Linked DNA regions of Macaca fascicularis. The protein of the gene in region 1 interacts with the protein of each later gene in a pairwise test. Links are inferred from orthologs where the notes say so. Each region holds a gene or a part of one and is shown on either strand. Other genes may lie near its edges. The genes, in order: PEX16 and PEX19.

Evidence for each region.
Region 2: the proteins of PEX16 (region 1) and PEX19 interact in binary tests that used the Homo sapiens proteins (3 or more experiments, as listed by UniProt). The link is inferred for Macaca fascicularis from reciprocal best matches to the Homo sapiens genes PEX16 and PEX19.

What each region holds. Positions count from the first base shown.
Region 1 is NC_088388.1:19,944,128-19,948,623, forward strand, and holds the start of PEX16 (peroxisomal biogenesis factor 16), read left to right. Parts: upstream 1-1,490; 5' UTR 1,491-1,801; coding exon 1,802-1,913; intron 1,914-2,119; coding exon 2,120-2,206; intron 2,207-2,472; exon of another isoform or gene 2,473-2,563; intron 2,564-3,644; coding exon 3,645-3,721; intron 3,722-4,102; coding exon 4,103-4,236; intron 4,237-4,370; coding exon 4,371-4,471; intron 4,472-4,496. UniProt on the Homo sapiens protein: Required for peroxisome membrane biogenesis. May play a role in early stages of peroxisome assembly. Can recruit other peroxisomal proteins, such as PEX3 and PMP34, to de novo peroxisomes derived from the endoplasmic reticulum (ER).
Region 2 is NC_088375.1:100,773,909-100,778,484, forward strand, and holds the start of PEX19 (peroxisomal biogenesis factor 19), read left to right. Parts: upstream 1-1,558; 5' UTR 1,559-1,570; coding exon 1,571-1,640; intron 1,641-3,055; coding exon 3,056-3,165; intron 3,166-3,585; coding exon 3,586-3,751; intron 3,752-4,509; coding exon 4,510-4,576. UniProt on the Homo sapiens protein: Necessary for early peroxisomal biogenesis. Acts both as a cytosolic chaperone and as an import receptor for peroxisomal membrane proteins (PMPs).

The DNA.
Region 1 (4,496 bases):
CAGCACTCAAATTTTGGCTGGGCGTTCTTAAACGGATGCTTTCTTCATCTGGTGATATCTGGTGGAGAGGATTAGATAAAATAATGCATTACTGCCGGGCGCGGTGGCTCAAGCCTATAATCCCAGCACTTTGGGAGGCCGAGACGGGCGGATCACGAGGTCAGCAGATCGAGACCATCCTGCTCAAGCCTGTAATCCCAGCACTTTGGGAGGCCGAGATGGGCGGATCACGAGGTCAGGAGATCGAGACCATCCTGGCTAACACGGTGAAACCCCGTCTCTACTAAGAAATACAAAAAATAGCCGGGCGAGGTGGCAGCGCCTGTAGTCCCAGCTACTCGGGAGGCTGAGGCCGGAGAATGGCGTGAACCCGGGAGGCGGAGCTTGCAGTGAGCTGAGATCCGGCCACTGCACTCCAGCCTGGGCTACAGAGCGAGACTCCGTCTCCAAAAAAACAAACAAACAAACAAACAAACAAACAAACAAAACAAAACTAGCCGGGCGAGGTGGCGGGCCCCTGTAGTCCAGCTACACGGGAGGCTGAGGCAGGAGAATGGCGTAAACCCGGGAGGCGGAGCTTGCAGTGAGCTGAGATCTGGCCACTGCACTCCAGCCTGGGCGACAGAGCGAGACTCCGTCTCAAAAAAAACAAAACAAAACAAACAAACAAAAAGCATTACTATTACTATTCTCAGGGTACCATAAATCCGCTGGCCCACTGCTTCACCCTTGCCACGCCCCTTTCCCCGCAGCCAATCAGCGGCTGCCCCCCCAGAGCGCCGGTCCCCTCCACCACTCGCCGCAGCTCTCCCGATGCCACCCGTTCCAGGGAGGCTGCTTGGTTTGGGAAGGTATTCCGCAGGAGTCGCCCCCTCCCTTGGGGCGCAGCTGAGGACTGCGAGGTGCGTCCGAGGGCCGAAAAGCTGAGATCGATTCTGAGTTCAAGGATCAAGTCTGCCCTCAAACCATTTTACAGATCGGGAAATCCGAGACCCAGAGAAGGGACACTCCCGCCCAAGGGCCCCCTAGCCGAGAGAAGCCCGGGCCAGGGCTTTCTTCGCGTATGTGGGAATGCAGGCGCGCGCCCGTGGGGGGCACAGTGCATACGGGAGCTGGGGCCGAAACCCAGCACTAACTGTGCTGTCTAGGGGATCCAGACGGCACTAGGGGGCTGGACTCCTTACTGCCTGAGTTTCCCCAGCACTACCTTTGTTGAGGAAACGGAGATGGGGATACTGGCCGAACGCGCGCCTTCTGAGACACAGTCCGACTGCATTTAGACGCCCGCATCTCTCCGAATCTGATCGAGGCTCCTTTTTTCAAGAACCCGCTATCTCCCAGCCCTTTAAAGTCCGGCCCTGCCGTTCGAGTCTCTCGGCGTTCCATTGGAAAGACTCGGCGCTCCAGCTCCCTTCTCTAGAATGAACTGCTCTGACTGCCGCCCAGCTGTCCCGGAGTGTTAACTGCGCAGGCGCAAAGGCAGCCAACCCAGTAAACGGAAGAGCTGGGTGCCGATCACACTGGGCGGGTCAGGGGCGGTGAGCGTGCTAACCAATGACTTGAGGGAGTAGGGGGCCGGGTTTGGGCCCTCAGTTGCTAAGCGCTACCCGAATGGGAAGTGGTTCAAGAGATGGGGTGAAGGGTGGTTCACCGGCTCTTCAAGTCACCAGCCTTCTGGCCCGCGGAAGTTAAGCAACCCAGAGGTGGGCCTAAGACCGGAAGCAGGAAGGAGGGCGCAGGAAGCAGGGCGCCGCAGCCTGGCGTACAGTCCTTCCGTGGATCTGTTGGTGCCGAGGGCAGGATGGAGAAGCTGCGGCTCCTGGGCCTCCGCTACCAGGAGTACGTGACTCGTCACCCGGCCGCCACGGCCCAGCTGGAGACGGCAGTGCGGGGCCTCAGTTACCTGCTGGCAGGTGCCACCTTGACCTTTGATCCGTTCCTTCTGGGCCCTGACCTATGACCCCAGTGGCCCCCTTCCCTGCGGAGTCAGGGTAGTGATCGCTGTGCTTGAGAAGACCCATCCAGGTTCCCAAAGGGCGTAGGGAGGGGACGTCCGGGACCTGAAGACTAAATGTAAGGCAGATGCTCACTCACACCTCCCTCTGTACCCTCTCCCCAGGTCGATTCGCCGATTCGCACGAGCTGTCAGAGCTGGGTGAGCCGGGCTCTGGGGGTGGGGGATGGGGGATCGGCTGCCTGGCCCCAGGTGAGTTCCCCAGAGCGGGTGAACACCCCAACCCGAGGTCCTGGACTGCCCGTTAGACTCCTTGTGCTATGACTGAATCGGAACAAGGTCTGTTGTTCACTGTCCTGGGCCTTCCATGTCCCTAAGTCAAGAGACAGCCTGGGGACCTTATCTGAGTATTCACTACTGGCCAGGAGCTGGGCTAAGTACCTTTCTTACCTTTACTTGTTAATCCTCCCTACAGTCATATTAAGTGGAACTGTTATTGTCCTCACTGTCCATTTAAGGAAGAAGTTCAGTGAGGTTAGAGAACACTTACTGATGGTCCCAGAACAAAGATTCGAGTCTAGATCTCCCAGATTCCAGGATTCGCAGATGGTAACTACCTCAAGAGTGTTTGTCCAGTGACTGCTGTCACAGTCCTGAAAGAATGAAGTGGGTTTTGAAAAGCAGAGGTGAGGCCAGGTGCAGTGGCTCACGCCTGTAATCCCAGCCACTTTGGGAGGCAGAGGCGGGTGGATCGCCTGAGGTCAGGAGTTTGAGACCAGCCTGGCCAACATGGTGAAACACCGTCTCTACTAAAAATACAAAAATTAGCTGGGCATGGTGGCAGGTGCCTGTAGTCCCAGCTACTTGAGAGGCTGAGGCAGGAGAATTGCTTGAACCCAGGAGGCAGAGGTTGCAGTGAGCCGAGATTGTGCCGTTGCACTCCAGCCTGGGCAACAAGAGCAAAACTCTGACTCAAAAAAAAAGAAAGAAAGAAAAAGGAAAAGTGGGCCGGGCGCGGTGGCTCAAGCCTGTAATCCCAGCACTTTGGGAGGCCGAGACGGGTGGATCACGAGGTCAGGAGATCGAGACCATCCTGGCTAACACTGAAACCCCGTCTCCACTAAAAAATACAAAAAACTAGCCAGGCGAGGTGGCAGGCGCCTGTAGTCCCAGCTACTCGGGAGGCTGAGGCAGGAGAATGGCGTAAACCCGGGAGGTGGAGCTTGCAGTGAGCTGAGATCTGGCCACTGCACTCCAGCCTGGGCGACAGAGCGAGACTCCGTCTCAAAAAAAAAAAAAAAAAAAAAAGAAAAAGGAAAAGTGGAGGTGGAATAGACCCTCAGGGACAGGCTGCCGAGAGAAAAAAGGCCAGGAGGAAGGACCGCATATCTGTGGCAGTTCAGAGAGCAATGGGCAGTTGTGGGCAGCTGGATGACCAGTGCCATCCGACAGGGCAGTAGCTGGCTTGTCACTGAGATTGACCCATCCTTTCTTGGTCCAACCACCCTTGTGAGATCATGTTGGGGAGAGGGGAGTGCTGAGGAAGTGGGTGGAGAGGCAGGCTGGTTTCCACATAGTCTGTGGGTGTCTGAGCAGAGCAGGTGACATGTGATCCCTGCAGCTCTGGGCAGAAGGTGAGAGGGATGGAGGTTGCAGAGCCAGCCTCTCAAGGCCACACTCTACCCCTCAGTGTACTCCGCCTCTAACCTGCTTGTGCTGCTCAATGACGGGATCCTACGGAAGGAGCTTCGGAAAAAGTTGCCTGTGGTGAGAATTCTGCCAGGAACAGGGTGGGAAGCATGGGGACTCAGGAATGAAATAGTAGCAGCTAGCCCATGCATGCAGCACGTGTCTCATGGAGTATGAGACAGGCCTATGTCCATCTGAGCCTCAACCATCTCATTAGGTGAGCTGTAAAGTGTGAGTATTCCATCTTAGATGAAGAGACTGTCTCAGATGAAGAGAGGTAGAGTCAGCTGTTTCAGGTCCCCCAGCCTGTTAGTGGTGGAGTTGGTGTTTGAACTCACACCTGCACAGTTAGTCTTGGAAAGGGGCAAGTCCACATCTCTTGTCAGAGAAGCTCCCTCCTAGGAGAAGGGCCTGGGACAACAGGCAGCCCCCTGACTTCTTGGCCTGGGGTTCTTGCAGTCGCTGTCCCAGCAGAAGCTGCTGACATGGCTGAGCGTGCTGGAGTGCGTGGAGGTGTTCATGGAGATGGGAGCTGCCAAAGTGTGGGGCGAAGTGGGCCGCTGGCTTGTCATCGCCCTCATCCAACTGGCCAAGTAGGTTGGGATTGTGGAGGGGGTCCTGGGTCGGGGTGACGCAGGCCAACTACACAGATGGTGCTCAGCAGAGCATCCCTGACCTCCCGCCGGCTAGCCACCTCCCCACAGCCCTGACATACTCCCCGACCCAGGGCTGTACTGCGGATGCTCCTGCTGCTCTGGTTCAAGGCTGGCCTCCAGACCTCACCCCCCATCGTTCCACTGGACAGAGAGACCCAGGCACAGCCCCCGGGTGAGCTACTTCCCCAAGCCCTAGA
Region 2 (4,576 bases), on another chromosome or scaffold:
AGACATAGTAAGTCTTTCTGGTGCTTGATGCAGTACTCAAATGTGTGTTTGGGAAGCTAAGCATGAAAGTGATGAGGTGACTTAACACAGGAATTTTTTTCATTTAAAATTCTTACCTTGTGTCATACTTACTGTGTGTATATCTCATCATACCTGCGGCTCACCTCCACTTAGCTACCTTACAGCAGGGGGTGGTCCTGATTTATCTCTTTGTCCTTGCTGTGCCCAGAACAAGACCTAAATAATAGGTGCTCTCCAAGTGCTAAAACAGATCTGTATGTGAAACAGTTGCTACATTCTTACAGATCTGAATAGAACAATTCCAAAGGAGGAAAGGGACGTCTAGAGTTACCTCTATCTGAGCATCCCCGGTGTTCACTCAGTTGGAGGTTGGGTTCTGTGTGGAGAAAAGGAGATTGGTCAGGGAAAGCAAGTCTATTACTAACTACTACATTCTAATTGCCCTGCTCAGTCCAAGGTCCCAGATGCTCTCTTTCTAACATTGAGTTCTAAGTTCCTGGCCCTGTGTCCTTTAATCAAACAGTTCTAATAGAGAATAGGAAATGAGAGATGCCACTAGATTGGGCAGACAGATGTGCCTGATTAGGGACTGCAAGAGCAAAGAGTGGCCAATGAGTGCCTACTAAGTTTTAAACCCTAGCCTAGGAGTTGGGCTTTACAGCAGCGAAGACAACAGACGAAAATCTTCGCCTTCATAGTGTTTAAATTCTGCACGGTGGGGAGCGGAGAATAAACAAGCACGGTAGATAATATGTCAGATAGTGTTCAGTGTTAAGAAGAAAAGGAATGGCCAAGTAAAGTGTTTCAGAGAAGATAACATTTGAATGAAATAATGAAGTGAAGCCGGGCGCAGTGGCTCACGCCTGTAATCCCCAGCACTTTGGGAGGCTGAGGTGGGTGGATCACCTGAGGTCAGTAGTTCGAGACCAGCCTGGCTACCCAGACTGGCCAACAAGGTAAAACCCCGTCTCTACTAAAAATACAAAAATTAGCCTGATGTGGTGGTGCATGCCTGTAATCCCAGCTACACGGGAGGCTGAGGCAGGAGAATCGCTTGAACCCAGGAGGCCAAGGCTGCAGTGAGCCAAGATAGCGCCACTGCATTCCAGCCTAGGCGACAGAGCGAGACTCCGTCTCAACAAAAGAAGTGAGAGAAAGTAGTATGTTATGTACCATAATTGTCATATCAATCATATATGTATAGATTCTGGTTATTTGTAGGCAGTTTGTCTCAATCTAGCCTACTCATAGCTCAGGAAGAAATAATGAAAGAGCTTCGCCAGGTAATTTGGGAAGTTGAAAGGAGTCCGGGCCTCTAAAACCAGGCAGAAAATAACACTATCTTATCCTTAATTCTGTGTTTCACAGGCGAAAGGGGAAAAATACCCAAAACAGAAACTCAAAGCTTCCTGGCCCTTTAAAAATGGCGGTTCCGCACTGGCCAACAATACCATTGGTTGCCCGAGGCAGAAGAGGGCAGGAACGAAGGGGTGGAGGGCGTGGCGGCGCCGAGGGGTCCCGCCTCCTACGGCAAGTCGGAGGTAGCAAGATGGCGGCCGCTGAGGAAGACTGTGGTGTCGGGGCAGAAGCAGACAGGGAATTGGAGGAGCTTCTGGAAAGTAAGAGCCCATAGTGGGAAAGGCCCGAAGAGGGCAGTTGTGAGGACCCATTCCGGGCGTTAAGTGAACCTGAGGTATTAGGGACAGGGCGGGAGAGGATCTCCAAAGGTTAAATGGGGGCGGAGAGTCTGACCGCCAGCCCCCCAAAAAATCTCTGGGTCATCCTGCCCCACCTCCGCGACTGGAGCTGGGGAACTCACCTGGGGTCCCCCAGTGGTCCAGATTGTGGATGTTTCCGCAGGACGGCGTTTCATGATACCTCTCCAAACTCCTCTTTCTTTAGGTTACTAAGTTCTTAAAGTCCGACTTCAGCAGCAGCAGCAGCAGCATTTGGTTCTTGTTGGGTAGCGAACCACGCACTCACTGATTGCTTACATTAACTCCTAGCAAGCTCGTGGCCCATGCTGCTGCGCCTCGTCCTGCCTTCCTTGACATGAAAGACACTTTTCTCCTCGTAGTCCTTTTCTCTTTCTCTCGTTAGGCCCCTTAACAGTTCTTTCATCTTGTTAGTAGCTCAAGCGGACTCCTTTCCCTTATTTTGAGAAACTGAGGATGTGGCGATTTCAGGGGAAAGCAGTTCACCCTCCTGAAAGACGGTGGATGTTTTCTTAGCATTACTGTCCACTCCCCTGTTGGCTTCCTGCCCAGAGTGGGGCCAGTGCTCTCTCCCTGGGCCTGGCAAGCAGAATGGTGGTGAGGACACAGGCTTTTCAGGGCAGAGGTGAATTTGTAATCTCTTGCTCGATCACAGAGATGTGGGCAGGCAGAAGAATGAACAGAAACGCTGAGGAGTGCCAAGTGACTGTAAATTAGCCTACGGTTATCTGCAAAGATCAGACCAAAAGGAGCTCTAGGAGGTTGTGGGAGAGCACTAAACTGGAGAATAAGAGAAGATAGTTTAATGCCTTACCATGGAATGTAGTATGTGGTCCCTCAGTCTGTGCTGGTACCAGTACCAACAAGAAGCTGGGTGGGATGTCATGTGCCTTCTCACCAAGTTATTCCTTTTAGAGCTCCAGAGTGAGTTCAGAGGGATGAGGACATCTGTGTTCTCTACTCCTGTTGGGTATTTATTTGTATGGGATTTCTAGGGAATCATTAGGTTGTGGCAAGGGAGACACTATAGATGGAGATGTCTCTGCAGAAATTTTTAATCCTCTCCTCCCAGCTCTGAGATGGATACTTGTTCCACCGTAAGGGATTTCTTGCCTTTGCTCACAATAAATTAGGTAATCTGGAAGGAAGTAGGAGGCTCATTGAGGGTGGTCTGGGGAGGTGGGGGCCTCAAGGCGGAAAATTGAGGAAAGTTGGCAATTTGAAAAATCATATTCGTAATGCTTTGCCCAGAAACCACCCAGCCTTGCTTGCATCCTCATCTGTCGCCAACACACACACCATGTCTCTTGTCTCTGAAGGTGCTCTTGATGATTTCGATAAAGCCAAACCCTCCCCAGCACCCCCTTCTACCACCACGGCCCCTGATGCTTCGGGGCCCCAGAAGAGATCGCCAGGAGACACTGCCAAAGTATAAATTCCACCCCCTGAAGGGATGGGGAGGGGATGGGCATGCAGCTCTGAGCAGAGGTTGGGCAGGCCCCTATGGGCCAGAGGGGAATGGGGGAGGGTACCTTGGCCTCACATTGGTGAGTGCTCTTGCCAGCCTCAGTCCTTGTGAAATAAGGACTTGAGGTTGAGTGGAGGAATCTCAGAGTTCCTTGAAAAAATAGTAGGTTTAAATGGTTGGATTGGTATGCCATCCCATACCCTCTTTCAAAGACTAGATACCTTTTTTGCTATTCTCATTAGGAGCAGTAGTTAGAGTGTCCAGTGGAAGTGGGTAGGAGGGAAGTGCATTTCCCATAGCTACTGCCTGTGGCTTCTATCAGAGGCCAGGTGCAGTGTAGTTCTAAGTAAGAGATGCATTTCAGCCACCCTTCCCCCGCAGGATGCCCTCTTCGCTTCCCAAGAGAAGTTTTTCCAGGAACTATTCGACAGTGAACTGGCTTCTCAAGCCACTGCAGAGTTCGAGAAGGCAATGAAGGAGTTGGCTGAGGAAGAGCCCCACCTGGTGGAGCAGTTCCAAAAGCTCTCGGAGGCTGCGGGGAGAGTGGGTGAGGAGACCTTAGATACATGGAAATATCTGAACAGATTCTTAAGTCTTTGTTGCCTGAAAACACCAGAATTCTTAGTGAAGTTGATAGTAATCATGATGTCACAGCCATGGAATGGGTAAAGGCAATGAGAGAAGGGGTGGAAATCCCTCTTTTTTTTTTTTTTTTTTTTTTTTTTTGAGACGGAGTCTCGCTGTGTCTCCCAGGCTGGAGTGCAGTGGCGTGATCTCGGCTCACTGCAAGCTCCGCCTCCCGGGTTCACGCCATTCTCCCGCCTCAGCCTCCCAAGTAGCTGAGACTACAGGCGCCCGCCACCACGCCCGGCTAGTTTTTTGTATTTTTAGTAGAGACGGGGTTTCACCATGTTAGCCAGGATGGTCTCGATCTCTTGACCTCGTGATCCACCCGCCTCGGCCTCCCAAAGTGCTGGGATTACAGGCTTGAGCCACCGCGCCCGGCCGAAAATCCCTCTTAATGAAAAGGGGCGAGATAGGTTAGAAAGTAATAGAAAAGATTATTCAAAACTGACCATTTGAAAGGTCACAGTGTTATTGTGGGTATCATCATGGAGAATAAACTGACATAGAGTCCGTGTATTAAATAGATGTATGAAAAGACTATCAGGATAACCGCAGTTTTCCCAGATGGGGAGTGATAATGATTCACTAGTAAATGCTTCATATCCAAGCTGGTAACCAGTTCAGTCTAGGCAAGGAAACAAATTCCTAAATGACGCTGGCTTTTTAAATCTCTCCTAGGCAGTGATATGACCTCCCAACAAGAATTCACTTCTTGCCTAAAGGAGACACTAAGTGGATTAGCCAA